Linked DNA regions of Oryctolagus cuniculus. The protein of the gene in region 1 interacts with the protein of each later gene in a biochemical or structural test. Links are inferred from orthologs where the notes say so. Each region holds a gene or a part of one and is shown in the gene's direction. Other genes may lie near its edges.

Region 1 (10,787 bases):
TGAGAGAGAGAGAAAGGTCTTCCTTTGCCGTTGCTTCACCCTCCAATGGCTGCCACGGCTGGCGCACCACACTGATCCGAAGGCAGGAGCCAAGTGCTTCTCCTGGTCTCCCTTGGGGTGCAGGGCCCAAGCACTTGGGCCATCCTCCACTGCCTTCCTGGGCCATAGCAGAGAGCTGGCCTGGAAGAGGGACAACCAGGACAGAATCCGGCGTCCCGACCGGGACTAGAACCCGGTGTGCCGGCGCTACTAGACAGAGGATTAGCCTATTGAGCCGCGGCACCAGCTCAGCTGCTCCACTTTTGATCCAGCTCCCTGCTAAGGCACCTGGGAAATCAGTGGAAGATGGCCCAAGTTCTTGGGCTCCTGCACCCATGTGGGAGACTCAAAAGAAGCTTCAGGCTCCTGGCTTTGGTCTGGCCCAGCCCTGGCTGTTGTGGCCATTTGGGGAGTGAATCCGCAGATAGAAGATCTTTCTGTCTCTCCCTCTCTCTCTGCAACTCTGCCTTTCAAATAAATAAATCTTTATTTTTTAAAAAAAGGATAACAGTAAATACAGACACACCTATGTAGTATGTGAGATCATGGTTAGTAACTCTACATTCTCTCCTTGTTTTAGAATATTCAACAATGGGGCTGGCGCTGTGGTTAGTGGGTAAAGCTGCCACCTGCAGTGCTGGCATCCCATAGGGGTGCCGGTTTGAGTCCCAGCTGTTCCACTTCTGATCCAGCTCTCTGCTATGACCTGGAAAAGGCAGTATAAGATGGCCCAAGTCCTTGGGCCCCCATACCCTTTTGGGAGATCCCGAAGAAGCTCCTGGCTTTGGATTGGCGTAGCTCTGGCCATTGCGGTCAGTTGGGGAGTGAACTAGCGGATGGAAGACCTCTCTCTCTCTCTGCCTCTCCTTCTCTCTGCATGTAACTCTGACTTTCAAATAAAAAAAAATCTTTTAAAAAAAGAATATTCAACAATGACATTTTTATAGACCTTTTCCATTTTCTCCACTAGATGTGAGGAATAATTCCTTACTTTGTAAAGGAATATTACTGCTTATAAGACAGATTTGCAGGACAACAGTGTTGGTATTATTTTTCCTTTAGATGACTGCAGGTGGCTATGCCCCTGATTCAAACCACTTTAACTCCCTTTTCCTTCCACTAAAATGGTATTTTTCATCCCTTTAAATTATGTCAATCTTCTTCTCTAAGATTCTTAATTCCCCCTTTTTTCACAGCTTTTTCCTTTGCTACCTCTGTGATTTTGGCAAACCACCTAAGCTTTGGGTCAGTATTAACATCCATAAAACAAGGGAATGAGATATCCTGATCTCTAGAATTCCTTCCTGCCCTAATATTCATGGAAGTAACAGTTTTCAAATTTGCATTTTTATCAGAACCACTGATAAGAACTTATTAATAATGTAGGTACTTAAACTTCACTTCTATAGATTTTTAATTTGGCAGGCTTAGAATGGGATCCCAGCATCTGTATTTTTAAGTGAACATCTCTAGATGTTCTAATGTACAGCAAAGTTTGTTCTATGAGCGTTTTATGAGATCTGCACTCTATTGATTCAAAAATAATAGAGTGAAGCGGGCTTTAAATAGGTGCTATAAGAAAGAACTTCCCAGTTGACATCAAGAGGTATTTTCAACAAGAGACGACTTGAAATCGTCAGAACCTAGGAAGATGAGATGACACCCTGAGGAAACTCAGAGATGACCAGGTCCACCTGGAATATTTTCACATCTAATGCAGCACTGTGAGGGAGAATTATCAATTGGCAGTAGAGTTAGTTGACTGAGTTCAAAAGAGGAAGCACAGTATAGTAAATGTAAAACAACTTGGGAATGATTATTTAAAATGAAAAATTGTTTTCAAACTGTGGTGGTGAGAATAAAGTTTTGATTTAAAAAACAGGTGACCTAGTTTCGTAGATGAGTCTTAAAATATAGGTTTTGTGTACAAATATTTCTGTACATTTTTTATTTATTTATTTTGACAGGCAAAGTTAGACAGTGAGAGACAGAGAGAAAGGTCTTCCTTTGCCGTTGGTTCACCCCCCAATGGCCGCTGCAGCTGGCGCACTGTGGCCGGCGCACTGCGCTGATCCGAAGCCGGGAGCCAGGTGCTTCTCCTGGTCTCCCATGTGGGTGCAGGGCCCAAGGACCTGGGCCATCCTCCACTGCACTCCCAGGCCACAGCAGAGAGCTGGACTGGAAGAGGAGCAACCGGGACAGAATCCAGCACCCCGACCGGGACTAGAACCTGGCAGAGGATTAGCCTAGTGAGCCACGGCGCCGGCCTTCTGTGCATTTATACACCGACATTGTATACATGTGTCTGTGTGATGAATCTATCTGGAATATTAAAGTGTACTTCAAAATAATAAGTGGAGGCTGGTGCTGTGGTGCAGCGGGTTAAAGCCGCGACCTGCAGTGCCGGGATCCCATATGGACGCTGGTTCAAGTCCCGGCTGCTCCACTTCCGATCCAGCTCTCTGCTATGGCCTGGGAAAGCAGTAGAAGATGACCCAACTCTTTGGGCCCCTGCACCCTTGTGGGAGACCGGGAAGAAGCTCCTGGCTCCTGGCTTTGGATCAGCTCAGCTCTGGCCGTTGCCATCATTTGGAGAGTGAACCATCAGATGGAAGACCTCTCTGTCTCTACCTCTTTCTGTAACTCTTTCAAATAAATAAAATTAATCTTTAAAAAAATAAGTGAATGGTTGACAATTCAGTAATAGCCCAGTGCTTGAAAACTTTTGAAATGTATTTCCTATAATCTCTGTCTTTAGGATTACTATCATTAAGGGTTTGAGAAAGCCAGAGGATAGAACACAATTGTGAGTTGTGCAGCTGATTCGGGGATATTTAAAAATATTACACGGAGTTCCTTTAGAGCTTTTTCAATCATTTACTCCTTGTCTAAGATCCTTTATGCAAAAAGTGTCTTCCAGAAAAGAAGCAAATACTGACTCAAGACCTTAGGGAGCAGGAAAGAAGCCTAGGGAAACACAGAGATTGAGTTGGGGAATCGTCATTCCAGGTAAAAGCCAAATGGATACTAGGAGATCCATTCATCTCCACCAGGCACCTCCTCACTACCCAAACGAACACCAAGTAGTACCTGCCTTAGTCCTAATGTGCCCTTTACACCTTATAGCTTTCCCCATTTTTTAGTGAACTTGTCTACCCTTTTGCCATGAAAAGCTGCTAGGAGGGGATCTCAGTAATCCCTCTGATGCCGAGGAAGCTTGGGTCATGTCTTTAAACACAACTTTATGCAACAAGCCAGGCTCTGCACCTGTCTTCCCAATCCCTGGGCCACCAGCCACCCAACCATGTCAATTGTTCTAGAACTGAAGGCTCACCAAGGTACGGCTTATGTAATAACTATAATCCCCATGGGTATTTAAGCTTGTTTTATGCCTAAAATGAGCCACCAACTCTTTCCCACTTATATTTCTAAAAGGATGACAATCTCAATCCCTTGTGATTTCCAAACTTTTTTTTTTTTTTTGAACCACTCCTGATTATGGAGACTCCTTAATACTGACCTCTGAGCTAATTAACAGCCTGGTGTGATTCTTTCAATTTTCCAGTAACTAATTAGGTAGTTTCTCTAGACAGAACTGACAACAAATGGGTAATTTTAAAATCAGAAACCAGAATCAGAGAAGGCCAAGACAGATAAGGCGGTGGAGGTGGGGTGGGGATGAGAGTCCAGTTTCTGCTGACAGAATACTGGGTCTCCTTAAATCCCAACCATTGTGGATTACCTGAAAAGTACCCCTCCTCCAATTAGTAACAAATAAATAAAAGTAAAACTTGCACAGCATCCGTGTTTGCACCTCGGGAGCGAGAGGGAGCGAGGCTTCAACTATAGCCACCGCACGAACTCACTGCCAGGCACCTGTTAGGTACACGCTTGCAGCTAGACCCCAGCCTCCAGCAGCTTCGCACCTGCATTTACTCTGCAGCCAAAATGGACTCTCTTCCAGCCTTCTCAGCCCAGCATCCGGCATCCGACCCACCACGGAGACGCGGAACCACAGCCTCACTCTCAGCCACGTTGTCCTTTTCAAGGCAGATTTAAGAGCGCCCCCCCACCCCCGCCCAGACTCTCCGTCTAGAGAAAGAACTGCAGTGGTCTCCCCGAAGGCAGAAAGCGAAAGGTGAGGGAACACACGGGGAGAAGAAAACTACCCACTCGCGTCCCTCCCTACTCACCCACGCGTCTGCTCCGGGTTTCCCCTCCTCCTGCAGGGGGGTGGCGGTCAGGTGAGGTTACCTGGGCGCCCCGAGGAGCCCTAAGGGGCGCTGCAGCGCTTCCTCTCGAAGTCGCCCCACTCCCCGCCGGGCCCCGGGACTCCTGCCCCTCTCCCCCCCGCGCGCGTCCCCGGCCCCTCGGGCTCCGACGCGCAGCGACAGCCGCACGCGGCGCTCGGCTCCCCTCCGCCGACCTGGCGTGACGCAGGCGGAGACTACTTAAGGGCGGATTAGAGGCGGCGGCCGCGGATTCCCCAACCCGGCAGGCAGCTCGGCGCGTTCAGCCCGGGCCTCACAGGCGCAGCGCGGGAGTGCCAGGTGCCTGCGGAAGTGGCAGGCGCGGGGGCCGGTGCCGGGACCCTCCCGCAGCCCCCTAACCTTTGGTGCCCAGCGGCTCCCAGAGAGACCTGTCTCGAGCGGGCGAGTGTTCTTGGACCTGCAAGCTGCCAGCCCCGCCCAGCCCCTCGTCCCGGCCACTGCGGGACCCAGACCCGACCCTCAGACGGTGCGGCAGGTTCGTGCCCGCTCTCCGAACCGCACTAATTGCCCCATCAGTCGGGACGCACTTGGATTTCTTTCCCCATTTCCCTCTTTTAAGTACAAACAAAAGGGAGAGGGATCGTGGATTTTTAAAAAATTTGTTTGCTTTTTAAATTGGGGGGCAATTCTCTCCCGGTCGGGAGGTGCGGCCCCGGGGAGGGGCCAGGAGCAGCGAGAGCGTGCCCGGTGCTGCCCAGTCTTTGTCTGCTGCCTCCGGATGCACAGCGATGGGGGAATGGACCATCTTGGAGAGGCTGCTGGAAGCAGCGGTGCAGCAGCACTCCACTATGATCGGGAGGTAAGGACGCCAAACCAGCCGTCCGCGGGCCCGTCGGGCGGCCCCTGGGAACCCCTCCTCAGTCGAGACAGAACCCCCACAGCTCCCAGGCCGTGCTCTGCCTCTTCCTCATCATTATGGGTCCATGCACCTGTGTTCCCGGCATTGAAGGATTACCCGATGCCTAGAGATTCCACCCTTCTCCAGCTACTCCGACTAGGTTCCCCAATCCCTTCCCTGTAAAGCACCCTGGGGGAGGTGGTTCATTCTTCCCTTATCAGAAAAGGAATTGTTGGATCAATCTTGGTCCCCCACTCTCGAGAGTCAGAGCCAATCTCCATCCGGTTCTCTAAATAGCATCTACAAAGAAGGCAGGATTGCATTTGGACAGAGAAGGGCTAATGGGGAGATGGATTTGCTCTTCAGAGCAGGTGCATGTTTTCCCAACAGTTATTAAACAAAACTGATATTTTAGTTAAAATATAGTTGCAGGAATCTACACATACAACTGACAGTTTTGTGTGTCTATATCTCGGTCCATATCTATTTTCATACATATATTCATGCATATATATATGAACAAATATTCATGGCTATCCGTTTCTACATATCATAAAGTTAAATATTCATATTGAGATTAGATTAAAATATACACATGGAATAGTTATATACACACACTGTAGTAACTGAAACATACACTATCTGTTCAGATATTCTGTATGAATTTGCCAAATCCAAAGTGAATGTGTATTTGGTGTCTCTATGCATCCCACAGATAAGGATGAAGTCTGTGTGTTGCAAATAGATCATCTCCAGTGTATGGTGATGAGTATGGCTGGGATCCTTGTAATTTTGAAGAGTTCTCAGCTCAGTAGCACCCAGGATATAAGGAAGAGTCAAAATCGTTTCCTGTTTCCCAGTTCAGTACCACACAGGGATGGACAGCTCCCCTGTTAAAGGACTGGTGATCACCAGACCAGAGAAAGGAGGAGCAGGGGTTTCCTACCAGTGACGCAGCCGGTGAGAACCTCTCTCCCTCCCTCTTCCCCTTCTCAGGATCCTGTTGACTGTGGTGGTGATCTTCCGGATCCTCATTGTGGCCATTGTGGGGGAGACGGTGTACGATGATGAGCAGACCATGTTTGTGTGCAACACCTTGCAGCCCGGCTGTAACCAAGCCTGCTATGACCGCGCCTTCCCCATCTCCCACATACGTTACTGGGTCTTCCAGATCATAATGGTGTGTACCCCCAGCCTCTGCTTTATCACTTACTCTGTGCACCAGTCTGCCAAACAGCGAGAACGCCGTTACTCTACTGTCTTTCTATCCCTGGACAGAGACCCTCCAGACTCCATGGGGGGTCCTGGAGGAACCGGAGGTGGGGGAAGTGGTGGGGGGAAACGAGAAGATAAGAAGTTGCAAAATGCCATTGTCAATGGGGTGCTGCAGAACCCAGAGAACCCCAGCAAGGAGACAGAGCCAGATTGTTTAGAGGTTAAGGAGTTGACTCCACACCCATCAGGGATGCGCACTGCAGCAAAATCCAAGCTTCGAAGGCAGGAAGGCATCTCCCGTTTCTACATTATCCAAGTGGTGTTCCGAAATGCCCTGGAGATTGGGTTTCTGGTGGGCCAATACTTTCTCTATGGCTTCAGCGTCCCAGGCTTGTATGAGTGTAACCGCTACCCCTGCATCAAGGAGGTGGAATGTTATGTGTCCCGGCCCACTGAGAAGACCGTCTTTCTAGTGTTCATGTTTGCTGTGAGTGGCATCTGTGTTGTACTCAACCTGGCTGAACTCAACCACCTGGGATGGCGCAAAATCAAGCTGGCTGTGCGAGGGGCCCAGGCCAAGAGGAAGTCAGTCTATGAGATCCGTAACAAGGACCTGCCCCGGGTCAGTGTTCCCAATTTTGGCAGGACTCAGTCCAGTGACTCTGCTTATGTGTGAAAGGGGAAGGCCTGGGGAATAGCAAGTAGCCTCAAAGCAGATGACTGTTTAAGGGTGACTATATCTGCCCTCATGTATGTGACTCTCACCATCAAGATGTAGCATACCTAAGACTCATTAAGAGAAGATCTTGCATCAATAGGATAGCAGAAACAGCAGAACCAATATCATGTGGCACATCCCTGTTGCCACAGAGACAGTTGGGTACTGGGATGAGATGGGTGAATTGGATTTCTTTGGTCCCTCTTCTTTTATGGGCCATCCTGAACTTGACAACTATGAAGTTGCACAGCTACCATGTAGGCCTGAGCTCTGCTGAGCTCTGTATCCTGGTGAATGGTGGGAGTCAAACACTTCATTGATACAAAATTTGTGAGCTATTTCAACACTTATCCCTGTATCCTGGGCTGCAGGACAAACATTCTTGAGGATCCTTTATGTATCTCTCCATTAGCATGTCCCTTTTCCTCAACCCAGGACAGCATGCCAGCTTTTTTTTCCTGAATCTGGCCTTACATTAGACCTAATATGGTTTATCTGCAAGCTAGAAGGAATTACATGGGGTGCTTTTTGAAGAGTGGCCATGGCAAAGGTTTTCATTTGAGCCCCATATGACTGGCCCATAGTCATTATGAAAACCTTAGGAATGTCTCATTATTTCCAGTTTTTAAACTCAAACTGCACTGGTGCTGTTTAATAGGGTGGGGATGGGTGGGAGGGAGGGAATTACAATATGCAACTTCTGTGAGATGGTTGTTGCACTATTAGGCATGTGGTTGTGAGCTTCAGGATATTTCTGCCTTCCAGCTTGTGGACTTTTAAAAAATATATTTTTTGTTAATATCGAGGTTGTCTGCCTGAGCCACAGAATTTCTAACTGGTGTATCTCACTCATTTTCTTATATAGTTATGTTGTGAAACACACCTGCACATCATTTTGCCATGGTTTGAATTTACCTGTGTGCTCACACCAGAGACCTTAATCAGCCCATGTCAATCCTGATTTATTATTTATTATTTTTGAAACATATACACAATCACTGGCCTAAAAAACATGGATCTAAACACTATTGGCTAACATGTGTTTACGGATGCTTATATGAGACATATACCAAAGGTTCAAAAACCTATTGCTTTGGACTGTGAATATGATTCCTTCTCTTTGCTCTTATTTATTTAAGTGCCATATGTACCTTCCACATCCACTGTGTATTTAGTTAAAGCATTGGCCAAGAGTAATATTTGGATAATGTGCTTTTATGAATCCCTCTGGTTTCTTTAAATTATCATTATCATTTTGATTTAGACATGAACATGATGTAATATACAACTGAAAATTTATTTAAAATAAAGTTCTTGCCTTTTTTGTAAAATGGGAAGAGTCTGAACTTTTCTATTTTGACTGAGGTCCTATTTATTTAAATAAATGTTCAAAAATATTATAGCAGCAGAAGAATGGGGGTAGGAAGTGAATGATAAAGGAACAATATTTGATGATCAATAAAATCCAACTAGCCACTCAGGATGAAGAGAGGGGAATAATGAAGCATTCAAACAGTAGTTGGTGGTTACTAACTCATTTCAATGTTAGCTCTGCATTACTCTGCTTGTTTAAGTATATTTCTTGTAATACAGATGTCAATACTGTATCATATTGGCTCATTTTAGGATTGGATTTTCCTCCCTTTCCACCACATTTTTCCTGCCATGGGTTGTTATATTTGGCAAGCATGCTCTTTTCCCCCAAGACCTCTTCAGAGCCTGATGTTTAACATGATATTAACCCAGTAGTCAAAGAAAATCATCTAGATCAGTACAATCCCATAGAACTCTATGAAATGGTGAAAATTTCTTCTGTGTTGCTCCATTAAGTCAATGACTACTCATATGTAACTGCTGAACTTTTAAAATGGAGTAGTGCAAATGAAGAATTGAATTTCTTCTTGTTCAATTTTAATTAATTTAAATACGATATATCTTTAGTTGATGCTGTGTTACAGGCATGTTCTAGACTTCTAATCAATCATTTCTTATTTTGTTCTTCAAAAGGGATTAGTCCTTTACTTACATGTCATAAGAATTTTTTTTGTCACAACATTTACTACCATTTTTGGCACTTTCCACTGAGATGTAGTCTCATTAGTTCAGCAGGCTAATGTTCTTCCTCACTTCTTTAATGGGTATCCTCTGATTCCAGTGAGCACTCAGATTGAACATTGCACAGCAATGTGGAATTTCCTGGATGATTACTTTCAATACACAATCATTGCACCCTTTAAACAATGGCAATGTGGATGCCAATTTTAGAAGGAAAATATGTTTATTTCAATGTATAGGCTTCCATTGGCAGTATAAATAAGCAGCTGAAGATAATTGTCCTTGAGAAAAGAAACAGCTCCTCCTTTGTTTTGTGTTTGGTAAGCTAAAAATGTTTGAAGACACCTCTTAGAGATGGAGGAAGAGTGTTGCTTGAGAGATCTTAGCATATGCTTGGGTGTGAAAGAAGTAGGAATCTGTGTGGAAAACAAGGTCTGTTGTATTTCTGCCTTGATGTAGAATTAGAACAGTAGTGCTTCCTGGTGGAAATGCATCCTAGATCTGTGGGGCTCATCTATTTCATTTCTCTAATGTTTCCAAACACTCACAAATAGAAAGATTATTAATTCACTTGTCATTTATGGAGTGTGAAACACACCCACTCTCAGAGTATAGTCACCCCTCACATTAGTGGCAGCCTTTGATTCATTTGCTTTCTATCTAATGAAGAAATCAAGCTGATGATTTGATGGCTCATGCAGCTACGTGACGGATATGACCTAAACTGTATTTTGTGAGAGGACAGCATCTATATAATCTTTTAAATTTGAGAGTATCTTGGTGAACTGCAGACCCTCTTGGCCTGTGTATGGGCACATACATGTGCATGTATATGATCAGGTGCACCTGTGTGTGTGTGTGGTGTGTGTGTGTGTACTTTGTTTTAGTTTGTGACAGTGCATGAACTAGAGACTAGCTGGGAAGAATGAAATTCCTTAGCCTGAGAAAAGAAAAGCTGAAAGAAAAGAATTTTACATTTTAAAGCCCTCAACTATTTAAAGTATTAAATATGAAGGATAGAAACTGTACTTGAAGAATTCTGTGAACAAGGAAAATGACTAGATTCAAAATCAAGGGGGGGACAGTCAAGGCAGTAGAAAGAACAGGGTTTCTTTTTTGCTTCTTAGGCAGAAAATATCCATCTCACCACTTCCTTTCACTGGGCATGCTCCTCTCTACCCATTAAAATCAGGGTGGTGTTCCTTCACACAGGAACCCAATCTAAATTCTACTCTGAGATAATTTGGTGCCCTGCTCTGGAGTTTCATAAAAATCGCCTTTCCTGTTACTTTCTGGGTTTTTATGAGGCATTTCTGGATAACAGTGTGGTTTGTTTTAGGTGCAAGAACTATGCCTTATCCATTGTAACCACATGGGAAATTTATGGTTATTGTTTCAGTTGCTGCCAGAGAGATGTGTCCCTCTGTCTTCCGTCTAGGAATGGTCTCATGGACTTAGATGTATTAAAGCTAAACACAGAATCTGCATTAGCAAGAAACTGGAGTCATGAACCAGAGCTGGGGATTGAACCCAGTTCTTCCCATGTGGAATAGGTGTGTCTTAAGTGGGAAGATATCAGTATTTTTAATTTCCCCCATTCCTAGGGTTCCGAACTATAAATTTAGAAACATTAGCTTAATATTATAAGAAC
Region 2 (10,211 bases), on another chromosome or scaffold:
GAAAAACCAAAAACTCATGTTAAATGGATAGGTTGAATGTGTGTGGATTATACCTCAGTCCTGTGCTTGGAATGCTTCTTCCCAAAATTCATGTTAGAAACTTCATCCCCAAATTCGTGTGCTGGTAGTGTTTGGAGGTGGGGCGTCTGGGGGGTGATTAGGATTGAGGGAGGCCTGAGGGTGGAAACACCCCCCCCCCCATAATTTTGTTTCCTTGTTGTTTTTTCATGTTTTCCAAGTTTTCTACAATGAGAATGTTTCACATTAATAATCTGAAAAAATACATGATAAATTGAGAACAGGAGATTTTCTGTGGACTTTGTAGCACAGATACCTACTTCCTACAAAACTAATCTTTTTTTTTTCCTTCTTAGCCTTTTATATAATCCTCGTTGCCCTGTTTTATTATATCATTTGGTAGAGCAACACTTTTTATTCCTCAAAAAAGGGCAGATATCTGAATCACTAGTTTTATCTCTTTGTGTGGGCCCAAGAATATCTTTTTGCAAATACTCATATTCTGGCACGCTTGCCCTGAGTGAACCACACAGGCCGTATTTATATATGAAACTGCAGAAGTGCATTAGCAAACTCACCTCCAGGAGCAAAAGATCAAATTGTTTTTGAATTGGAAAGAACTTCAGAAATCTCCAAAGCTAGCTCAAATAAGAGAAAATGTGCCTTGTGTACTGGACCCGTACACAGCTCAACTCAGGCTAAGGTCTGAACTTCCGGTCAGTGGAAGATGTCAGAAGCCGTACTCTTTGCTAAGTGTTATGACATCATTTTAAATTTGTGAGTGGATTCAGAATGTTTTCTGTGAATTGAGTTTTCCCTCAGCATTGTAACATTTACCAAAAACTATTGGTAAAATCCTCATCTGCCTTATCTCGGTCATGGAGCTAACCTTTCTGGATTCGCGTACGAGCCTCCAGGTTCGCAGGAGTCCTCGCTGGGAGGCTCAGCCCATTTCCTTGCTGCTTCGTTTGAACAGGTGACGTGTTGCTGAACATCAACGGCATCGACCTGACCAACCTGAGTCACAGCGAGGCCGTTGCAATGCTGAAGGCCAGCGCCGCCTCCCCTGCTGTGGCCCTGAAAGCGCTTGAGGTCCAGGTGGTGGAGGAGCCGGCCCAGAGCTCCGAAGAGCAGCCCAGCACCTTCAGTGAGAACGAGTATGATGCCAGCTGGTCCCCGTCTTGGGTCATGTGGCTCGGCCTTCCGAGGTACTCACAGCTGTCCTGTTGTCTCGCAGATTAATCCTAATTGCAGTTTTGATCAGCACAGCCACTTGACCCATTCTGACCAAAAGCCTTTAGTTTGGTAAAAACAGCAACATCATGTCAAATCACAAAAGCAAGAAGTCATTCTTCGGGTGTTAGAGTTAATAAAAATACAGCTTCAAAGACATACCTGTTTATAAAGATGTAATTCTTTACATTCCTATTAGGGAATGTAACGTAATCTTTTCCCTTCCTCTTAGGGACCTCACCGGGTAGCCATGAGGTTGCCTACCCAGAAAAGCTGTCGTTTACCGGCATTGATTTTGAAATATACTTAGACGGCACACTCAGTTTTCTCCAGAAGAACCAAGCCAGTACTTAGGGCCTTGCCCCATCTTACAGACCTCTCTAAAAGCTCTTTTGAACTCTCCCTAAGAAGTTTTTGCTGGGCACGTGTGTCTCAAAGCCAAACCGTTGGTATTCAAGAGCAGCTGTTCCACCATTATAAGGAGCTCACTGCTCCCATCAGTGCCTAAGAAGACAATGTGCAGCTCATTGACTCCGGGGAGCCCAGCAGCAGGTGGGGGGCCTCCAGCCGCCTCCCTGGCTGCACACTCCTCTCCAGGCTGTTGTGTTATCTGGTGTTGAGACAGGTAGAATGTGTGTCACACTTACTATTTCATTCCAGATCAGTTTCAATTGTCACTGTATGTAGCAGTCCTAAAACTGAACTCTGAACTGTGACTTCTAGGCTGACAATTGCTGATTTCTTTAAAATAAAAATAGGCAATAAGAATGCACCAGGTTCTGAGTCATTTGACTTATGTGGAATAAATTTAAAGTAATAACTAGCATTTATGTAGTACATGATGGCTTATATAGTACTTTTCATATAAAGAACCACAGAGAAAAGCAAGGATATTATTGGCTCTTGTTTGTTGATAGCCTGAATTATCTCTGAGTTAAAAATAAAGGGCAGATGTTGGGCCTGGTGGTGACAGATACCTGCATCCCATAGCAGAGTGCCTAGGCTTAATGGTCCTCACCTGTTGTGCCAGTCTAACTGTGGCATCAGCACACACACACTGACTGCTGTGCGCACAGCATCTCCTGGTATAGCAGGCAGAATAGCCAAGGTTTCAGGAGAGACGCACAGAATAGTAAAATCTATTTTTTAAGTCAACCATACAGAAAAAAAAAAATACCTGTCAATAAAAGGCTGCGTGCTGTGGCTTTTCCAAGGTCTCTGTTGTAGGCAAACCCATGTTCAGCAGCCATGGGTCCTCCCCTGGGGAGCAGGTGGCTGCCCCAGGAGTGGTTTCAGCTCTGCCTTCCTGGAAAGGGAGATTTCTACTGCAGACTGCTGGGGGGTGCACCAGGGAACTGCTGGCTTGGTTGCTGTAGAAGAGGCAGAATAATGAAACTAACCTACACTGCCTCTAGCAATCCAGGCCAGCTCATAAGCCTCGCTGCATCCCCTTTCTAAGAGCCCTTTCTTTCCAGGGACCTGGGAGACAAGACCAGGCTGGAACTCGTGGTGGGTTATGTATCACTTTCCAGAATCAGCTTGCTTGCTTTCTTTCTTAAAGATTTTATTTATTTATTTATTTGAGAGGTAGAGTTACAGACAGAGGGAGAAACAGAGAGAAAGGTCTTCCATCTGCTGGTTTACTCCACAAATAGCTGCAACAGCCAGAGCTCTGCCAATCTGAAGCCAGGAGTCAGTAGCTTCTTCCAGGTCTCCCATGCAGGTGCAGGGGCCCAAGGACTTGAGCCATCTTCTGCTGTCTTCCCAGGCCATAGCAGAGAGCCGGATCCAAAGAGGAGAAGCTAGGACTAGAACCAGCGCCCATATGGGATGCCAGCGGTGCAGGCAGAAGCTTAGCCTGCTAGACCACAGCACTGGTCCCCAGAGTCAGCTTTCTTAAAACACCTGTTAAGGGGTTAAGAACAGAACACCTATAGGCCCAAGATCAAATTTCACCTGAAACTGAGGATATTTATTTACCATAGGTTCCTCCTCTGTATCATTTAGATGGGGTTCTTTGCTTAAGTTTCTACTTGCTACTTGTTCCCGGGTCCATAAAGCTATGGGAGCATGAGTGGATTTGATTTTATTTCTCCCTCCCTGCACAGTGTCCTCCTGGCAGTAGCTTGGAGTAGCAAATCAATGGCATGATGTAGAAAAGAAGGGAAAACCAGATATGTTTTGTTAGTGTTTTCCAGGTTGAGCCCCCTGTTTTGGCAAGTAGAGTCTCCCTTAAAACAAAAGCATTGCAGGTGAAGGAGGAATGAACAGTAAGTAACTCCCGTCTAGACTAAAGGTGGACCCTGCGGTGTGCCTGCCACAAAGGGGGAAACATATCTCACACCCTTCTGGAAGCTACATCTCTGGTCATTTTCTTTCATTTGAGCGCTGAAATCAGCAGTCCTGGGACCCCTCTGTACCATGTCATTACTCTTGTAGATAGCAATGTGTGTTAGAATTGAAGACTTTGTCCACAATGCAGTGAGCAAACATAGGCACAGAAGCTTTTGTGCAGAGTTTTGAGTTATAATTGGTAACCAAGTTGATTTAGGCACCTCTGTAGATGTGTTTGTATGTATGTTTTCACTTGGGGAGACTAAAGAGTTGGAGAAATTCATGTCTACCTAGGACTGCATCTGTACTTTCTGGAAAGGAGGTTGTCAAAATTGTATATTCAGAGGGCAATAAAGGATCTTTTTTTCCTTCCATCAAGAGTGGTGAGTGTATGGGGCCAGCATTGTGGTGGAGAGGGTTACACCGCCTCCTTCAATACCGGCATCCCATAGGGTGCCCGTTCAAGTCCAGCTGCTCCACTTCCATTCCAGCACCTTGCTAATGCTCCTGGGAAAGCAGCAGAGGATGGCCCAAGTGCTTGGGCCCCTGCACCCAGAGGAGGCTCCTGGCTCCTGGCTTCTGCCTGGCCCAGCTCTGGCTGTTGGCAGCCATTTGGGGAGTGAACCAGCAGATGGGGGATCCCTCTGTCTCTCTCCTTCTCTGTCTCTGTAACTCTGCCTTTCAAATGAATAAAGTAAATCTTAAAAAAAAAAAAATGCGGCAAGTGTAGCATGGTAGAGGTATAGCAAGGGTGATCTGGCTGTAATAGCCTCACGTTTGTTTTTCTTCATTTTTGTGTTTGTCTGTAGTGCCCTTCACAGCAGCCATGATATAGTTCTACGAAGAAGCTACTTGGGAAGCTGGGGATTTAGTATCGTTGGTGGCTATGAGGAGAACCACACCAATCAGCCTTTCTTCATTAAAACCATTGTCCTGGGAACCCCTGCTTACTATGATGGAAGACTGAAGTGAGTGTCGCGCTAGTGAAGGATCGATTGTTGTCTGTTGTGCCAGACGCGGTCTAGACCAGGGGCAGTACCGCGCGAAGCCCTGTCGTCGATTTCTATAGATAAACCGTTAGTGCTACCCACACGTGCTCATTTGTGGCCTCGTCTGTGACTGCTTGCGCACCCCAGCGGCAGAGTCGAGTCCTCGTGCCAGACACTGTGCAGTTTGCAGCACCTAAAACTTACCATCGGGCCCTCAACGGGGAAAAATTTGCCAGCCCCTGATCTAAGCTGAAGTTTCTCTTTCCCATCTTGTCTCTGTCCATCGCTGACGGGACCTGGGCCTGTGTCCTTCAGACGCATTCTGATCGGGCAGCCCGCTCGAGTCAGGTGCAGGCCTGTCATCATGACTCTGCTTTACGTTCCTCCGCAGCGCTCCTCTCTGCCTGACAGCGTGTTTACCCAAGCCCCGTGAGGGTGGGATTCTGTGGCTGTATTGTTCTGTCCTCAGCAGTCTGACTGTGCTTTGCTTAGAGTAAGAACTCAATAAATCTTGGGTGGACAAATGTGCAGAGGCTTCCAGTATGCCAGGCCCAGCGCTAAGTGCTGTGCGGGCGTTATTTAATCTTCTTAACAACAACCCTGTGAGGTTAGTGTCATTACTATTCCTGCTTTTCAGACTCGATAACTGAGGCTTGTCCAGGATCAAGTGGCTGAAAGTGGCTGGCTGGCACACAGACCAGGCCGTCTGGCCCCAGCGCCTGGCCTCAGCCCTCTGCTAACTGCCGCCACCGGGCAGAAGGCACTTGTCCTGCCAGCCACAGCCACTTTTCTTTTCCAAAGCTTGGGCACTAGGAGAAGAAAGAGAAGGTGCCAAGAAAATGCCTCCACCAGGGGAAGAGGCTGTGTGTTAGCTTCTTAACGGCCTCGATTCTGATGGAAGAAGCGGCTCTTAAGAAGGAGACACTGACGTGCTGGACGGAATCCTGCACAGCTAGAGCACTACCTGTCCTCCAAGAGAAAGTGGCCCCACACACTGCTGTGACAAGTCAGGCAGGAGCCGTGAGCTCCAGGCCAGTCTCCACTGGTAAAGGTGAAACATCTTCTCAGTCTAGGAAGAGTAGGGGAACACTGAGCTGCTCCTCTTAGCTGTGCTGCTCAGCCAGGCCTGGATCAGTTTGTCAGTGTACATTCTGCCCACTTCCGAAAAGAAATTAAAGTCGATACCACTGAAACGGCATCTTCGTTCACGTTACAAACTGAAGACCAGAACTCCTAAGGCTACATAGGATCATTACAGCCATAAGGCTAGAAGGATCCTCGGATTCACCATCCATCTATGGTCATGCTGCTTAGAAGGCATTGAGTGCCATTAGCTGGAAGAAGAGGAAGTGCGGGTCTTATTCTCAGTTTAGTTCCACTCTTGGATGTGTGAGCTCTGAGGACAAAAACAGAAATACAGTCAGAACAATAGCCAGTTCCCTTCAAGTGCATTATTCGTTGTTTCTTTAAAAGAGGGAAATTATTCTGCATGTGCTTAAGATGTCACCTGCCAGTTATGGGAGTAGATGGCCCAAGGGGCGCAGGTTGGTTGGCAAGGGGAAGCCAGCATGGGCCTCAGAATCGCCCCAGATGGCTCTCACAATAAGTGACATTGCAGTTTTCACCCTAAGCAAATCTCAACCGGGATAATGTTTTTAATGCCATGGAAATGGTAACGTTCTGTTTCTGTCTGTCTTTGTCCAGGTGTGGAGACATGATCGTGGCCGTGAACGGCCTGTCCACCGTGGGCATGAGCCACTCTGCATTGGTTCCCATGTTGAAGGAACAGAGGAACAAAGTCACCCTGACAGTTATTTGTTGGCCTGGCAGCCTTGTATAGGTCTTGGAAATCGGTTGCCAGCCTTGCTTGCATCTTCCTTTTTCAGGTTTTTGAAAAAAAACCTTTTGGTTTCGTTGTGTGTCTGGTTCCGCACTACTGGCACAGCTGGTACACACGGGGCCAGAACCCACCGTGATTGTCCTTCTGTTTGTACTTCAATCATTTCTGTTAGCTCCGAAGCAGTCTTCCACTCACCCTTATGAGCTTGTTTTGTTTTTTTTTTTAATTCAGACAATCAGTTGTTTAAAAATATTACTTACAGTAGTGAATGAAGCCCCCTCGAACTGTGACCCGGCGAGCTGATGAAAGAATTTCTGGTGGCTCGGTCTTCAGTACCGAGTCACACAACAAGTTACATATCCCAGGACAGGCCTGCCGTGAGTGCATGCCTTTCAAATACGCGTGATAACCATTTGCCATTTTTCATCAGTGCCAACATTTCAGAACTTCATCCTGTTTATAATTTCTCTGGTATGTGTTATTCCTACTTTAATCTCTCAGTACTTAGAGATGATGCAGACGTAAGTCTGATACCACTAAATAGACTTTAAAACAAAAATAGGGAACTATTATTAGAATAGTAGAGAATAAAAGATGTTATCCAATGACAAAGGAATTTAGAAGGTAATGATAGTTTAGTGCTGGAGATGGAGAAAAGCTGTGTTTACTTGAATAGTCCCCAAGCATTAAAGATTTACTTCCAAAGGAACATTTTGCTATGTGGGAAAAGTTTGAAGCAGTTTTTGCTAAAAATCATTTCTAGGGTTTGTGTTATACTCACCAGCAATCTTGGCTGGACATGTTTTTGTGATTCATGTAATTAAGCTAGATGATAAAGCTAAAACCATATTGCTGTTAAATATACAAACATATATCGCAGCTAAGTAGAAAGGAGACCTCTTTATTTTACTCAGATAAGAGTCTTTCTTGAGTGTCTTAGAAACCTTTATATTTCCTATTATTTCTTATGAGCCTAATTGTTTCAAACAAGAGTCAAAGCAGTTCTGTTTTTTCTCTGAAATTGTAGATTTTAGATGTTAATGTCTTTGAATCAGCTATTGGTCACTAGACTATTTCATATTTTTTTAAATACTATTGAAATCTATGGCCTATTTTGTTTGTCTTTATTCAATATGGTTGTCCTTTGGAGAACACATAAAGGAGTGAATAAGAAAAATTTTTCACCTTCTTAATAATTATGCATACTTGAAAAAAATGTTTCCCTTAGAAACCTAGTTCAGAATCTGAGCTAATTTACAAGTGACCTCTGTAATAAATGGTATTGATCATCAGAGAATGTATTTGAGAATACTACCGTGTATTATGAAGCATGAACACTTTATCTTCAGACTTAGCAACTGCATTGCTGGGGTTAATTGTATCCGTAGCATGTCACTCACTGATTATTACAGTTTTTATAATGACTTTTTAAAACATATGTCTTTGGAATAAATAAGAAATTAGCGACAGTAATTGCTACCGACCTTGATCCCTTAGTTGTGCTATATGGTCAGCCCGTGACCAAGAGACAGTGGAGTGCCCATACAGTATATTACTGTTATGTGATGACTGGCTTTTGAAGCTATTGAATATTGCAGTGCTCTGATGTTCTAATGGACACGGAACAAGATTTCTTTCTGCTCCCCAAATGGAATTTTGTAAACAATTTTGCTATTTTTTTAAGCTGTTTATAAAGATGTGTCATTTCTTAGGGAGGGGCTGTCCATCAACAAATATCATTACTACTACTTACATTCAACCTGGTGGTATAGTGTTTTGAAAGAAGACTTTTTTTCATTGTTTTTAATCATGGAAATCTTGGAATCAGCTTCAGTGTCTAGATATTACAACAGAAGACTACAGCTTTTGGTAAGAATGATACTTGGTGACGGAAGCTTGTTCGTAATTTATTATTACTATTAAAGTACTTGGATTTTTCTCACTCTCTCACAGTTAAATATTTTGATTTGTCCTGTGCCTTCAGTTTAAATTATTTCAGGATTTTTCAGATGTGTTTAAACAATGTTGTGATAATCGTTCAGGATGGAAATAAAAGTCATCCTTTCTGTAAAAGTGACCCTTTCTCCCTTCTTAGAAGACAGCAGATGTTAACTCAACTTCGGATCCTCAGGACCACAAACGCACCTGCGTGTTCTCATTCCCGTAGGCAGGACCCAGAGAAGCTACTGGCATGCGGGATTTTTACCAGCACAGCACCTGTGGGCCGGCGGTGTACAGTGTCCGTGGCTGCTGAGCACCTGCAATGTGACCAGGGCTCGATGTTGGGCCCACAGAGTCCACCATCAGAGTTTAACTTCACCAGTCGCTCCTTACGTATTCCGATGTGGCTCTGGAACATTTCTTCATAACGCCTGATCCCTTCTTTGGTAATCCAACCTGTCTTCCATTTGTCCAGAGTTGTTGATAAGCCAGGCCACCAGCATAGACTGCTGCCCCGCTCACAGACCAGCAGTTCATGAACTGAGTTTTTTTTTTTTTTTCCTTCTCTGCTGGGGGAAGGGAAGGTTTCAGCCCCTGGGGGTCCTTAGTAGGTAGCTCTTTTCGCCATTTTCTAGTGTAAATCTGTTCCATTTAACCGCACTGCCAATTAATTTCTATGGCAACACAAGCTCTTCAGAAGGCAAGTTGTGCATGTATGTGTAATACCTAATATCTACAAAGTGCCTGAAATAAGAGAGGCTAGAACTTGAATGACATGCAAGCATAAAAGACTAGCGTGGGCGCTGCGTTGGAGAAGCAGTGCATCGCGGGTGGCAGAGAGCGTGCCCTCTCCCAGGAGAAGGTTGGCTCAGCCCAGGGTGTGGCTGACTGGGAAACACTGGGAGATTGTCCACCTGAGTTCTCCTAACACCCACAAACATCACTTTGAAGACGGGCTGTTTCACACACTTGGGTCAGTGCTCACCGTGCTCCTTGAATCCAGCCAACCACAACCCCCTTCTGAGGTTTCCCGAAGACTGACCAAAACGGTCAAGTTAGAAACGTCTGTTGCTTAGACTGGGGGAAGAGGAGCGGCCATTGTCCAGTGTCCTGCTTGTAATGGTGGGGCAGCTGTTAAAGATTTTATTACCTTTGCCCAGATTTTATTGGAAATTTAAATCTACAACCTACTCTGCAACTAATCTGAGGCTGTCTCAGGTCGTCGACTCGTGCCTGAGCCTCCCCACCAGCAGACTTCCCAGGGGAGTTACACTCCAGCGCGGGTTTGTAGGGTGGCCCTTCTCTGTTCCCATTCCTTCCCCGGGGCGCGGGCCCTCAGGGTGAGGGCTCAGCTCCTTGCCAGGCCTCCCAACAGCCCTGGACCAGACACCTACTCCTGAGGTCTAGCTTGTGCTAAGCTAAATGGGCACCAGAGGAGGGTGGGGGGTGCTCACTGCCACAAAACTTACTCTGAACAAAATCAGTAAACGTTTGAGGAAGAGGAGATCACGCCACCTCTCCTGTCACTTCGAAAGATGGGATGTCCTGGTGTCATCCGAGTCCCTACACCCAATATAGTCATTTCCCCCGTGGATCCCAAATCAGAGCCGTGGAATTGGAAGTGCCTTATCCATCCTTCGGGTGTAGGGATCATTCTGTGACATGGGCATCTCTTGCTCGAATGCTTCCCACGACAGGGACCTCCCCACCTCATCCCATGCTTTTGTTCTGTTGGGGCGTGTATATTTGTAAGCGCTTGTGTTTTAGTAATGGTTTGTCCTATGCCCTCTCCCTGGCTTGAGTGTCGAGACTGGGAGGAAGACAATAGCTTCATTTATTACCTCTAATATTTAACT
Region 3 (10,939 bases), on another chromosome or scaffold:
GACATAACTTTTATGAAAATCACATGAGCTCTGTCGATTTTGTTGTCCCATCTCTACAAATATGTCATGGAGAGGGAGGGGACAGGCAGCATAAAAGGGGCAGAGTAATTCTCCCAGACCGCAAGGCACGGCCAAGGCAAGAGGTCATTGCCAGGCGAGGTCCTTGGGAGTGTCAGCCTTCATGGCTTGCAGAGCAGACCTCCTGCTTCGGATACAGAGACTTCAAACCAATCCAGAAGCCCGAGCGGCCGGCTGGCCAAGGAGCACAGGCCCGACCTTGACTTCAGAGAGCTCGCTAATGTGTTCCGCCTGTCTCTGCGGAGAACAAAGCTTCCAGCACATTCTGGCCATGGAGGAGGCTCATTCCGAGAGACAGAGAAGAGCATGTGGCCACCGACACGGCACACCGTGGAAGAGCGGCCCAACGCGGACCACACCGTCACCCTTCAGAGACGACCCCGTGCCCCAGACGCTGGGTGTCTCTCTCTCTCATGTGAGCCATTAATCCGCAGAAGACGAGCAGCCAGCGGGAAGCAGTCTGTCCTAGGGGCTCCTGAAGTGCTTTGCGACCTGGTCCCACGTCGCCCATCCAAATTCTGCACCCGGAGGGCCCCTCCCTCCAGCAGGGTGCACACACTGTCCCCCACCCCTCACGGGCTCCTCCCGACACACACGGCTCTGATCACCACTGCCTCCCCCCACGCCCTAATCACTACTGCCTCCGCCCACGCCCTGCACTGGTTTATAGTGGAAATTAGCGTTACTTTGTCCCACCTTATCCAGCTGAGCGCAGTTCCACATCCTGATGCCTGTTCTGGGGAGATTTTCAGATCTAGAGAGGCAAGGGGCTACAGGGAGTTCTCTCAAGGGGCATCTCAAGCTGGTCTCCCCTTTCTCTGCTGGCACCATGGGTCCCAAATGGATGATCCCAGTGCACAGGAGTGACGGGTTTGGTGGTGTGTTTTGCCACCGATACAGGAGGGTACTTCAAAAAGTTCATGGACAATGGAACTCAAGTTTACTTGGGTGCAAAAATTTTGAAATGCCTGCACATAAGGTGTCCTCAAAAAGTTTATGGGAAACGTGTGTGATGAAAAAGTTCCGTCGTGTTGGCTTTGTGGCACAGCAGGGTACCCACCTCTTACGACACTGGCACCCCTCATCAGAGCCCTGAATACAGTCCTGGCCGCTCTGCTTCCAATCCAGCTCCCTGTTAACGCACCTGGGGAAGCAGCAGAGGACGGGCCAAGTGCTTGGGCCCCTGCACTTATGTGGGAGACCTGGTTGGAGCTCCAGGCTCCTGGCTTCCATCTTGACTTACTCTGGCTGTTGTGGGTATTTGGGCAGTGAATCAGTGGATGGAAGTTCTCTCTCTCTCTCTCTCTCTCTCTCTCTGTGTGTGTGTGTCACTCTACCTGTTAAATAAATAAATAAATCTAAAAAAAATATGGATTTCCAATTTTTGTACCAACATAAACTTCTCTTCTAATTCCATTTTCCATGAATTTTTTCTGAAGTACACCTGTAGGCATAAGTGCACTGCTAGGTCTAATTGTTCCATACAAATAAACCCCATGTATCAGCCAGGCTACGCATTAATTCACCGAGACTTCCCTTCCCAGAAGCTACCCTCTGCCCCCAACCCCAGGCACTCCCCTCCGAGTACCGGATCCCGGCGAAGCCGCAGTGCTGGCCAGGAAGGTGCCCGGTCAGTGTGGAATCAGGAGCCTCCCCGCCTTTCTTGCCAGTGGCGAAGCCCGTTCTGCTCCACCACGTGCTGGCTGAGCCGTCTCCAGCAGCTCCTCGGCCTCTCTGTGCCTGGGTTCTCTGAGCTGCCGCGGGCAAACAGCAGGAGGACCTGCCTTGGAGCACCCACGAAGTGCTCAGAAGAGCAAGCAACACGTGGGGAGGACCCAGCCATTCAGTTCACAGGATGTTTTTTTAAGAGGCAGAGAGAGACACACAGAGAGAGCCCCCACAAAAGCTGGGGAGCCAGGGTCAGGCTGAGGCCAGAGGCCAGGACCTTAACCCAGCCCCCCCCCCCCCCCCCCCCCGCGAATGTGGCAGGGACCCAGGCACTGGGGCCATCAGTGCTGCCTGCCAAGGCCTCAGCGGCAGGAAACTGGGGATCAAACCCAGGCCGAGATGCAGGACGCACACAGCTTAACTGTGGGGCCCTGATTCTTCTCTCGTTTCCGCCAATGGTTTAGAAATACACGGGCCGCGACCCTGCAGGGGCCCCAGTGGCATCACCAGGCCCATGTTCACCTCTGCTTACCCCTTGGGGATTATGCCAAGTCCAGGAGCTCCCCTGGCTTTCCGCCCTGTCTCCGGTTGCTCCACTCTGGTCTACCTTCTGTTGTGGTTTCTTCACCAGACCACACGGGCAGCGGCTGTGCAGGGGAAACCAGCAGGGGAGGCCCCACTGAGGCTCCGTCCCTTTCCGCAAATCCAGTCCCAGGCGCCGCCCTCCCAGGTGTGCCCAGCGCCCTGGGCCCCAGGTGAGGCGTGACTGACAGCGCGTGGGGCGGGGCCTCGTGCAGGGTCGCCGGCTGGGCGGCCGGCCCTGCCCCTCTGAGACCCATATCTGAGCAAGGCAACCTTTGGATTCTCAGCTCCGTACGGACGGGTGGGCCCATGCTTTTTCCTGAAACGCCTGCTTTTTTTTGTTTGTTTTTAAATCACGCAGGGGCAGCCACACCTACGTTAGTTCCACTGGGCAAAGTCGGGAAGAAAGAAGTTCTTTGTGCCTATTTGAAAAGCTCCGGGCTGTCCTCTGAGCGCGCGCGGGGCGGCCGGGGGAGGGAGCCGGCGCGGCGGCAGGTGCCACCCCAGCCAATCCGCCAACCGGCCGGACCCCCGAGCCCCCGAGCAGCAGGACGGGGAACTCCCACGCTTGCTTTCTTCAAGGGGGGAGCACGTGTCTGCGGGCTGCGGGCGACCTCGGAGTCCGGCTGCAGGCGCCGCAACCCAGCCCCGGGCCAGGGTCGCGCCCCGCGCTCCGGAGCGCTCCTGCCTGGCCCCCGCGGCACGGCCGCATTCCTGCGCTGGCGCTGGCACCTGAGTCACCGGGCGCTGCTAATTGCGCGCCCATGGTGGGTGGCTCATCGGTGACTCGAGCTGGCAGGCCAGCGCAGGTGGGAATGCCGGGCGCTGCGCAGATTCCAGACGGCCGGATTCAGATGCCCGAGCGTGCGACGCAGAATGTGTTTGGAGAGGCGGGGGTCGTGCTGAGGTTTCTGGAAAGTGGTTTTGTTCGTCGCCTCCAGCTTGTCCAGAGAGCCAGGTGGACGCCACTCAGAAGGGCATGGGGAGAGTGTGTTGAGGGGGTGGACTGCAGATATTTCTAAGCACTCGATCTTCGCAAACTGGTGCTCTCTGCACCCACCAAATCGCTGCCTCATTTCGAGGTTTCAGCTCCCCTTCGGATGCCTGGGTGCCAGGCAGCCAGGAAGTGCCAGGGGGAGGAGCCGAAGGAATGACCAGGTACAGGCATTCAGATCTGTACACGGGGCTGGACACGTGCCGGACGCAGAAAGGAAAGTAAATTCCGCCTGGCAAATTGCTCTAACTGATTCATTTGTCCGCGGAAAGACGCCACCTACCAGCTCCCAGGTATTCAGGTAAATGACAGGTGGGCGGGACCTACTGACTCCTGCAGTCGCTAAGGTCTCTGCAATGCTTTATCTGCCCGGGCTTCCGTGACGTCACACATTTCCTGCTCCGGGCCAACCAATGGCCTCCTCCTTCCCCCAGGCACCTGTACGCTGAAGTTGAGGCTGGTCACAGTTCAGGCGGCCCAAGCAGCTCCTCTGTCCACCCAGGCGGGACGAGAGCTTCCTGGCTGCCGCTTCTCTGGGAGCCCCGAGTCAGAGCTGGACAAGGTGAGTGGAGCTCTCTCTTGGCGTGTGGACCACCAGGGGACGGAAGGAGGCGTTTGAATGGGAAATGGGAGCTGATTGGCTTGGCCCTGGCCCTGGGCCCCGGCGGAGTGAGTCTCTGGACAGCCGAGAGTGGACGGATGCCTTGACATTCTACCTGCGCGGTGAAGCCGTCCCTGGCCTGACACTTGATCCGCTCAGTCTGGCCTAACCACTGGTCCAGCCCCGCCAGCTCGTCTGTGACGTTGATCTGATTTTTTACAACCGAGGGAGGGGAGCAGAGGGAGACATCTTTGAAACCTGGCTGCAAGGCGCGGACCTGTTCAGCCCGTTGGGGGGGGGGGGAGGGGAGCCGGGAGGAGGGCGTTCAGAGCGGTCCGGCTCTTGCTCTTTTGTTCTTGTTTTATCTTGCTGCCTGCATTCGTCACACCGAGGCGATGTGGATCTCGTGCCGAGATCTTTGCTTGTGTCCTTCCAAAAGTCTGCTCAGGTCCCTGCCCCGGCCACCAGTCTCCCTTCCTCTTTCCTCTTCAGAATGTTGGAGCATTCTCTTTGCTCTCTGTTGAAGGCCCTCTTAGGAACCACCTTGCAGACTGTCCTGGGATTGTTCACATCCAGAGCCGGGCTGGTGCCTGCTGACTGCTGGCTCACGTAAAGCTGTTCCCTCGGGGCCACCGCAACAGAACTTTAGGTCTGAGTTTTAATTTGGGGGGACGCTCCTGCTTTTTTCTCTTTTGCCTTTTCTTTTAATTGCAAACACAGCAAGAAGGTCGCTCTGCCAAGACATTGCTTAAGGTCATTTTATCTCTGGGGTCCGTATTTGTTTTCTTCATTCCGGTCACACGACCTGGGCTGCTTGCACGCTGGGCAGCCTGGCAGCCACACTGCCCGTCCCGTGCTGTTGCAGGAATGATAGGAAGTATTTCCAAACGCCCCTTCCGACTGCGGTGAGCTGGGAAGTTGGGGAGAGTGAAGTCCACCTCATTCCGGAATCCTCATGGGCTGACTTTGAAACTTAAGTTAGCAGCTGCGAGGAACACTCTGTTGGAATTACGCTCCTACGCGTTGCCCAGAAATGCAAAAATGCATGTAAATTCTCCAGGAGTATGAACTGGAACGAGCCGAGAAAAGTTCTGCCCTAGACGGCTGCTTCTTACCGCCTGCTCTCCTTGCCACTGTCTCTCTTGCCCCTAGGAAGCTCCCACGGCTCTTCCTTCACTGAGCTTTGCGCCTGTGACTTGTATGTGTTTGGGGAGTGGCTGCTGCCGGTCTGTTACTGAAATTCTTATTTGATTCGGAACTCTGCCGTCAGAGAAAGGCCCCCGGATCCAGAATCTTCCTGATAAAAACGTGTTTCTGGAGCTATTTCCTGTGCTTTGCCGTGGTTGGTCGATTCTTTTTGTGGGAGTCAATTTATGACCAAAGGATCCTTCCACTGCTACCTGTCAGCGTCTCTGGCTCAGAACAGGACAGAGCTGTGCAGGCTTGGTCCCCTACAAAGCCAAAGTGACAGAGTGGGATTCCGAGTCAGGATGACCCTAGGGCTCGGCACCTTTGGGCTGCTTTGCACGCGAGCGCTGTCCGGAGTCCCCATGGTGGCCACACACCTTGGTTCAAGTGGATATAAAGCCTGCCACGGACAGGGATTGAACAGTCCTTGAGTGGGGGACGTCACTGACCATCAGTGACGTCATCAGAAAGACAGGAGATACTGTGACCGAGCGTGGTCCTGAGAAAGGAATTAGGTCACACCCATGTGCAGGCTTCCCAGTGACCTATGCCTGTGGCTGAGCGGGCACCCAGGGAGGGTGGAGCCTCCGGCCCGAGGGTGGCCTGAAGGAGGTGGTCAGCCCCTCCCAAGATGCGAGATCTCCGGTGGCTGCTGCGACTGTTCGGGAGCCTGACCCTTCCCTCCGGTTGTTGTGATCGGTTGAAAGTAACCAGGAGGCGGGAGGCAGTGGGGCCACGGCTGACTTTGTCCACCCCAAGGTTCCCACCTGTCGCAGTCCCACAGAACGGGGTTCTCGGCAGGCCTGGCTGGGGGGGGGGGGCTGCGCACTGTTCTGTGGCCTTCGCCAAGGCTGACTCGGCAGGAGACCCCTCCGTCTCTCGGGGGCCCTCTCCAGTCTCGTGGGCAAGCCCCCTTCACCCCAGCCTGGGACGCAATGGTGCCAAAGCCACTGGCGCGGAGGGCAGCTGGTTTGGGGCCTGCCCCATGTCATGGCAGGGCAGTGTGTGGGTCAGTTGGACATGATTGCCCTGAATGGAATACCCTGTGCCCCTCGGAGACCCCGAGTCACTGCATAGGAGCAGGTGTGTTCCCAGGGCCCTGCGGCCCTTCCTGGTCTCACCTTACCCGAAAAGGATAACACAGATGGCCAGCATTTGGAGCGTTTGGCACAGTGGCTAAGAACACTTGTGATGCCCACGTCCCTATCAGAGTCCCTGGCCCAAATCCTGACTCTGCTTCCCAGCTGGCTTCCTGCTAATGCGCACCCCGGGAGGCAGCCAATGAGGGTTCAAGCACCTGGGTCCCTGCACTCCCATGAGAGACCCGGATTGAGTTCCCGGCTCCTGGCTTGGGCCTGGCCCAGCTCAGCTGTTGTAGGCATTTGGGCAATGGACCATCCATTGCTGGGTGGGGAGGAAGTTATCTCTCTTTGTCTCTCTGCCTTTCAGATAAACGCAGTGAATAATTAAAAATAGGGGGGCAGGTGGGAGAGAGGCCTAGTGGATTGAGGCCGTGGCTTCTGACCTTGAACCTGTCGCTGCTTAGGTCACCGCAGAGAGAATCTTCAGCCTCCCTGCCGTCGGTTTTCTTGCAACGACGATGTGCTGGGTCCTCCCCAGAGGCAGCTGGGTGGGCTGCACCCGCCGGACCACCCTGAGGGGCGGATGAGCCCCCCAAGGAAATGTTCGTGGGGTTCACTGAATGACAGGCCAGAGAACCGCGGTCTTGTCTCCTGAGTGCCTGCTCCGTAGTGCGTGCTCCGCCAGTGTTGGCCTTGTTAAATTATTGCGGGAAACAGCTTCACCCTGGGTATGGCGACCCGGCGTCCGTCCACGTCCGTCCGCGCGCAGCAATGATAGACGTGGTGGGAAGTCAAGGTCGAAAGACTGAGCAAAGCAGGTTTGCCTGAAGGCGGCAGCGGCCTGGTGGGGAACCGCCTGGCAGAGGTGGTCTTGATCACCGTGGAGCTCCAGGCCAGGGAGCTGCCAGCGCGAGCCTGGTCTCTGCAGTCGTGCGGGCCGTGGGGCTGGGTTGTGAGAAACAGTGGATCTCCCAGGAGCCGTGACCCCTGCCTTCACACCAGACACAACGCCTGCCTGTGGCCAAAAGGAGCCCCTTTTTAATTGGCAGCCCTCGCTGGACGTGGAGAGAATAAGCCTGCCGGGTGGAGGGCTCTCCCCCCACCCCAGGCCTGCTCGCTGCCCCAGCGGGTGGGACTCTGCCTGGTGCCCCGGGCCAGCAAGCCACACGCACACTTTTATGTGGGCAGCGAAGCCATTGTCCTCTGACAGGGCCTCTTCAAAACGATTTGCGGGGAAGACAGCATCATTCTGCCCGGGTTAGTGAGGTTCAAGCATTTCCTGTCCCCAAAGACTAAGGGTAGGCGGGAAAACACTGCGAGCCGCAGAGCCAGGAACCTGCATGGAGCTGAACCGGGAGGAGAGGATGCGGGCCGTGTCCTGTAGGCGCATGCCGTACCTGTCTCCTGTAGGCACGTGCTGTCTCCTGCAGCCCTCCTGCATTCGCCGGTGGCTCCTTGTGCTCTGTGTGCCGTGCGGGCACCACTGCGCCCTGCTGGTTACCTTCACAGGCACTTCGGCTCCCTACGGGGAAGAACGTTCTATGGATTAGCATTGCCACGAGTGCCAGAGGTGGCCTCCGGGGCACTCAGACCTTGCCACTGCAGCTGGGCTCTTTGGGGCACACTGAGTCCATGTAGTGCCTCGTTTGCGTTTGGGGCGGGTGAATGAATGAATGAGTGAATGAGTGAGTGACCTAGAGGATTCGTATTTCTCCAGCATCACCTGTAGGCAGGCGGCTGGGAAACGGCAGTTGCACTACTGACCTCAGGATGGCTTTGGAGGTTAAATGTGAAACACACGCCAAGGAACAAACTTTTTGCATACTTATTGCATAACAACACGGGCAGTTTTCCTTGTCTGGTCTGTTCTGATTCAGAAGGGAGAGAAGAAATGCTTGCTTCGGGCTGGGGGTAGACAAGATGGCCTGCAAACCGCAGTGCCTGTGGCCATCGCTGGCTCTTCCTCCACTTCCCCGCCCTGGGGAGCTGCCGTCCTTGTCTCACGTTCCTCCAACAGCGCTAATAGGTTCCATCCCAATTAGCCAGTGACATTGTTTCTGTAGCATCGCTAATTTGCGACTTGGAATGCGTGGACTTAAATTCCACCATGATTCCCCAGTGACTCTTGTTTGCTTCTTGTGTCTGATGCGTTGGTCACAGGGACACGAAAGGCTGTGCCGGCAGCAGAGTGGAAGCGCTCCAAGCATTTGCTGTAATCGCCTCTTGGCAAGTGCACGGTGATGCTGAGACCTAAGAATGCCAGTGCTGTCTGTTTAGATGATTTGCATAACTCGCCTATGACTGCTGTTGTCAGTCACATGGCCCTTTCGGAAAAGAACGTCACACACTCGGCCTCAAGCAGTGAGTCACCTTGTGTTTGCAAGCTCCTCGTTAGGTATCACGGTCATGCCTATGTCACGGCTTCCTCTATACACACACACTCAGCCGTCCGACCTGTGGCTCCTTCCTCCTGGAGGCTTTTGTCGATCTGGTTTACCAGTTGTCTCTAAAGATGTTTGTTATTCTGACTTATTCATGGATTGAAAGCAAATGATTATATGTTCAGCCTTGGGCAGAACTGTGATCCCTAAGCAAGTGCCTGCCCCCTGGAAACACTGCTCCCTAAGCCACGTTGAGCAGTGCTGGGTGCCTCACTGGGGTGGTCTCCCCGTGCTGAGCAGTGCTGGGTGCTCACTGGGGTGGTCTCCCCGCTCCTATGTGAGTGACCCTGCAAATACAGGGCTGCCTAGGACTCGGCAGCTTCCAACAACTCCGATCTGTTCTTGCACCATTCCGGGGGCCCGGGGACACCCCCTCCGAAGGCTCCAGGTGGCCCTGCGTGTTCCTTGGCTGTGGCTGCGTGAGTCTGCCATGCCTCTGGCCGGATCAGCCTCTCCTCGGTCTTAGTTGCTGCATTCAGTGCCCGTTCCGATGGCCAGGAGGCTCTCGCTCAGAGCCTGAACGTAATGACGTCTTCAAAGACGGTTTTCCCAGCAGTGCCATGTGTGCAGGTTCTGAGGTGAGGATGTGCACACGTCTTTCTCGAAGGCACCCTCCTGGCACCTTTGCCACCACCAGGGCCACCCAGGAAAATGGAAAAACCAGAGACAAAGAAGCAAATAAATAAAGGGGGTGAGAGAGCGTGAACCCCGTCTTTAACCTGGGAGGGGGAGTTGCCGTGTTTCAGGGAGATCCGCGGGGTGTGTTGCACCTGCGGGCAGGACTGTGGGCAGAGTGACAAGAGGACAGCGCAGCCCTGGGGCCCTGCCTTCATCAGTGGAGCCCCGGTGGAGCTAGAAGACCATCCTTAGGGACATTGAGAGAGGACCTCCCCACTTGGGGAGAAGCCAGGATCCACACTGACTACGTCCTGTGACTTCCCAGTAAACCCTTCCGACACAACACACACAGACAGCCACGGAGATGCGTCGGCCTGACGTGGCTGGTGCCCTGGCACAGGTCCTAGCCCTCACCTGACTTCCTCCCCCCGCTTCTCTCCTGACCCTTCCTGGGTTCCATCTATGCCGTCACCTTTCTTTGACTGCGCTGGGCCATGCTACACTGCTGTCTTGTTCTCCTCCAAAGCTTGCTCATGGCTCCTGTCTCGGGGGACTGTTTTCATTGCCGTTTGTGTGGACAGTTAGCTCCCCGAATCCATGCACTCCCCCTCTGCAGACTCAGCCAACTATGGACGCAAACCATAGGCATAAAACAGTGCACCTGCTCTGAACGTGTGTGTTATTCCCTATATCAGGGCGGCATAACCGCTCTTCACATCACTTTAGCCTGTAGATCATCTGGAGGGGATGTGTGTAGGGTCTCTGCCAGTACCACACCGTTTTACAGGAGGGGCTTGAGGATGTGAGGGTTCGTGTGTCTCTGCAGGTCCTGGGACCAATGCCCCGTGAATTCCAAGGGACAACTGTATTCTTTCTGTGCTTTAACATTTTCGCCCTATGGCTGAGCTCTGTGCTCCTACGTAGTTTTGTTTAAAAGGCAGAGAGAGAGAGATGGACAGGCAGAGAGAGGTCCTCCATCAACTGGTTCACTCCCCAAATCCCCACAACAGCCAAGGTTAGGCCAGGCTGAAGCCAAGAGCCCAGAACTCAATTCGAATCTCCTCCCTGGGTGCTAGGGACCCAACCACGTGATCACCATCTGCTGCCTCCCAGGGTGCACCTTAGTGGGAAGCTGGTATCAGAGGTAGAGCCAAGACCCCACCCCAGGCACTCTGATGGGGAATCCCAGTGTTCCAAGTAGCATCTTACCCACTGGCCTCAGGCCCACACTATGCTAGACTGACTCTCCTGGAAGATAAACTTGAATTCCTTCTAGGCACTCCCTGAGAGCTGAAGACAAGTGCCAGGTGTGGACTCGGCTATCACCAAATGCAGACCCGAAAGACAGCAGAAAAATGTTGCAAATTTCAGTATGGGTTGAGCATCTCTAGTCCAAAAATCTCCAAAACTCAAAACTTTTTGAGCGCCAACATGATGCCACAAGTGGAAGGCTCCACGCCTGACCCAGGGTGACAGGTGGCAGAGCGTAGGGGCGTCCCACATCAGAGAGCTGGGCTGAGTCCTGGCTGTTCCAGTCCAGGGCAGCTTCCTGCTCATGCATCCCATGAGGCAGCAGATCATGGTCAGGGGCTTGGACCCCTGTTATCCATGGGGCAGAACTGGTCTCTCGCTCTCTCTCTTTTTCCCTCTGTCACTCTGCCTTCCAAGTAGGTGAAAATAAAGCTTT

Evidence for each region.
Region 2: the proteins of GJD2 (region 1) and LNX2 form a complex in vitro, tested with the Homo sapiens proteins (2 studies listed by BioGRID and IntAct, with this or other methods). The link is inferred for Oryctolagus cuniculus from reciprocal best matches to the Homo sapiens genes GJD2 and LNX2.
Region 3: the proteins of GJD2 (region 1) and LNX1 form a complex in vitro, tested with the Homo sapiens proteins (2 studies listed by BioGRID and IntAct, with this or other methods). The link is inferred for Oryctolagus cuniculus from reciprocal best matches to the Homo sapiens genes GJD2 and LNX1.

What each region holds. Positions count from the first base shown.
Region 1 is NC_091443.1:57,652,201-57,662,987, reverse strand, and holds GJD2 (gap junction delta-2 protein), read left to right. Parts: upstream 1-4,977; 5' UTR 4,978-5,038; coding exon 5,039-5,109; intron 5,110-6,144; coding exon 6,145-7,039; 3' UTR 7,040-8,437; downstream 8,438-10,787. UniProt on the Homo sapiens protein: One gap junction consists of a cluster of closely packed pairs of transmembrane channels, the connexons, through which materials of low MW diffuse from one cell to a neighboring cell.
Region 2 is NC_091440.1:86,985,557-86,995,767, forward strand, and holds the end of LNX2 (ligand of Numb protein X 2), read left to right. Parts: intron 1-994; coding exon 995-1,226; intron 1,227-4,394; coding exon 4,395-4,553; intron 4,554-6,278; coding exon 6,279-6,414; 3' UTR 6,415-8,487; downstream 8,488-10,211.
Region 3 is NC_091439.1:110,329,356-110,340,294, forward strand, and holds the start of LNX1 (E3 ubiquitin-protein ligase LNX), read left to right. Parts: upstream 1-3,744; 5' UTR 3,745-3,884; intron 3,885-10,939.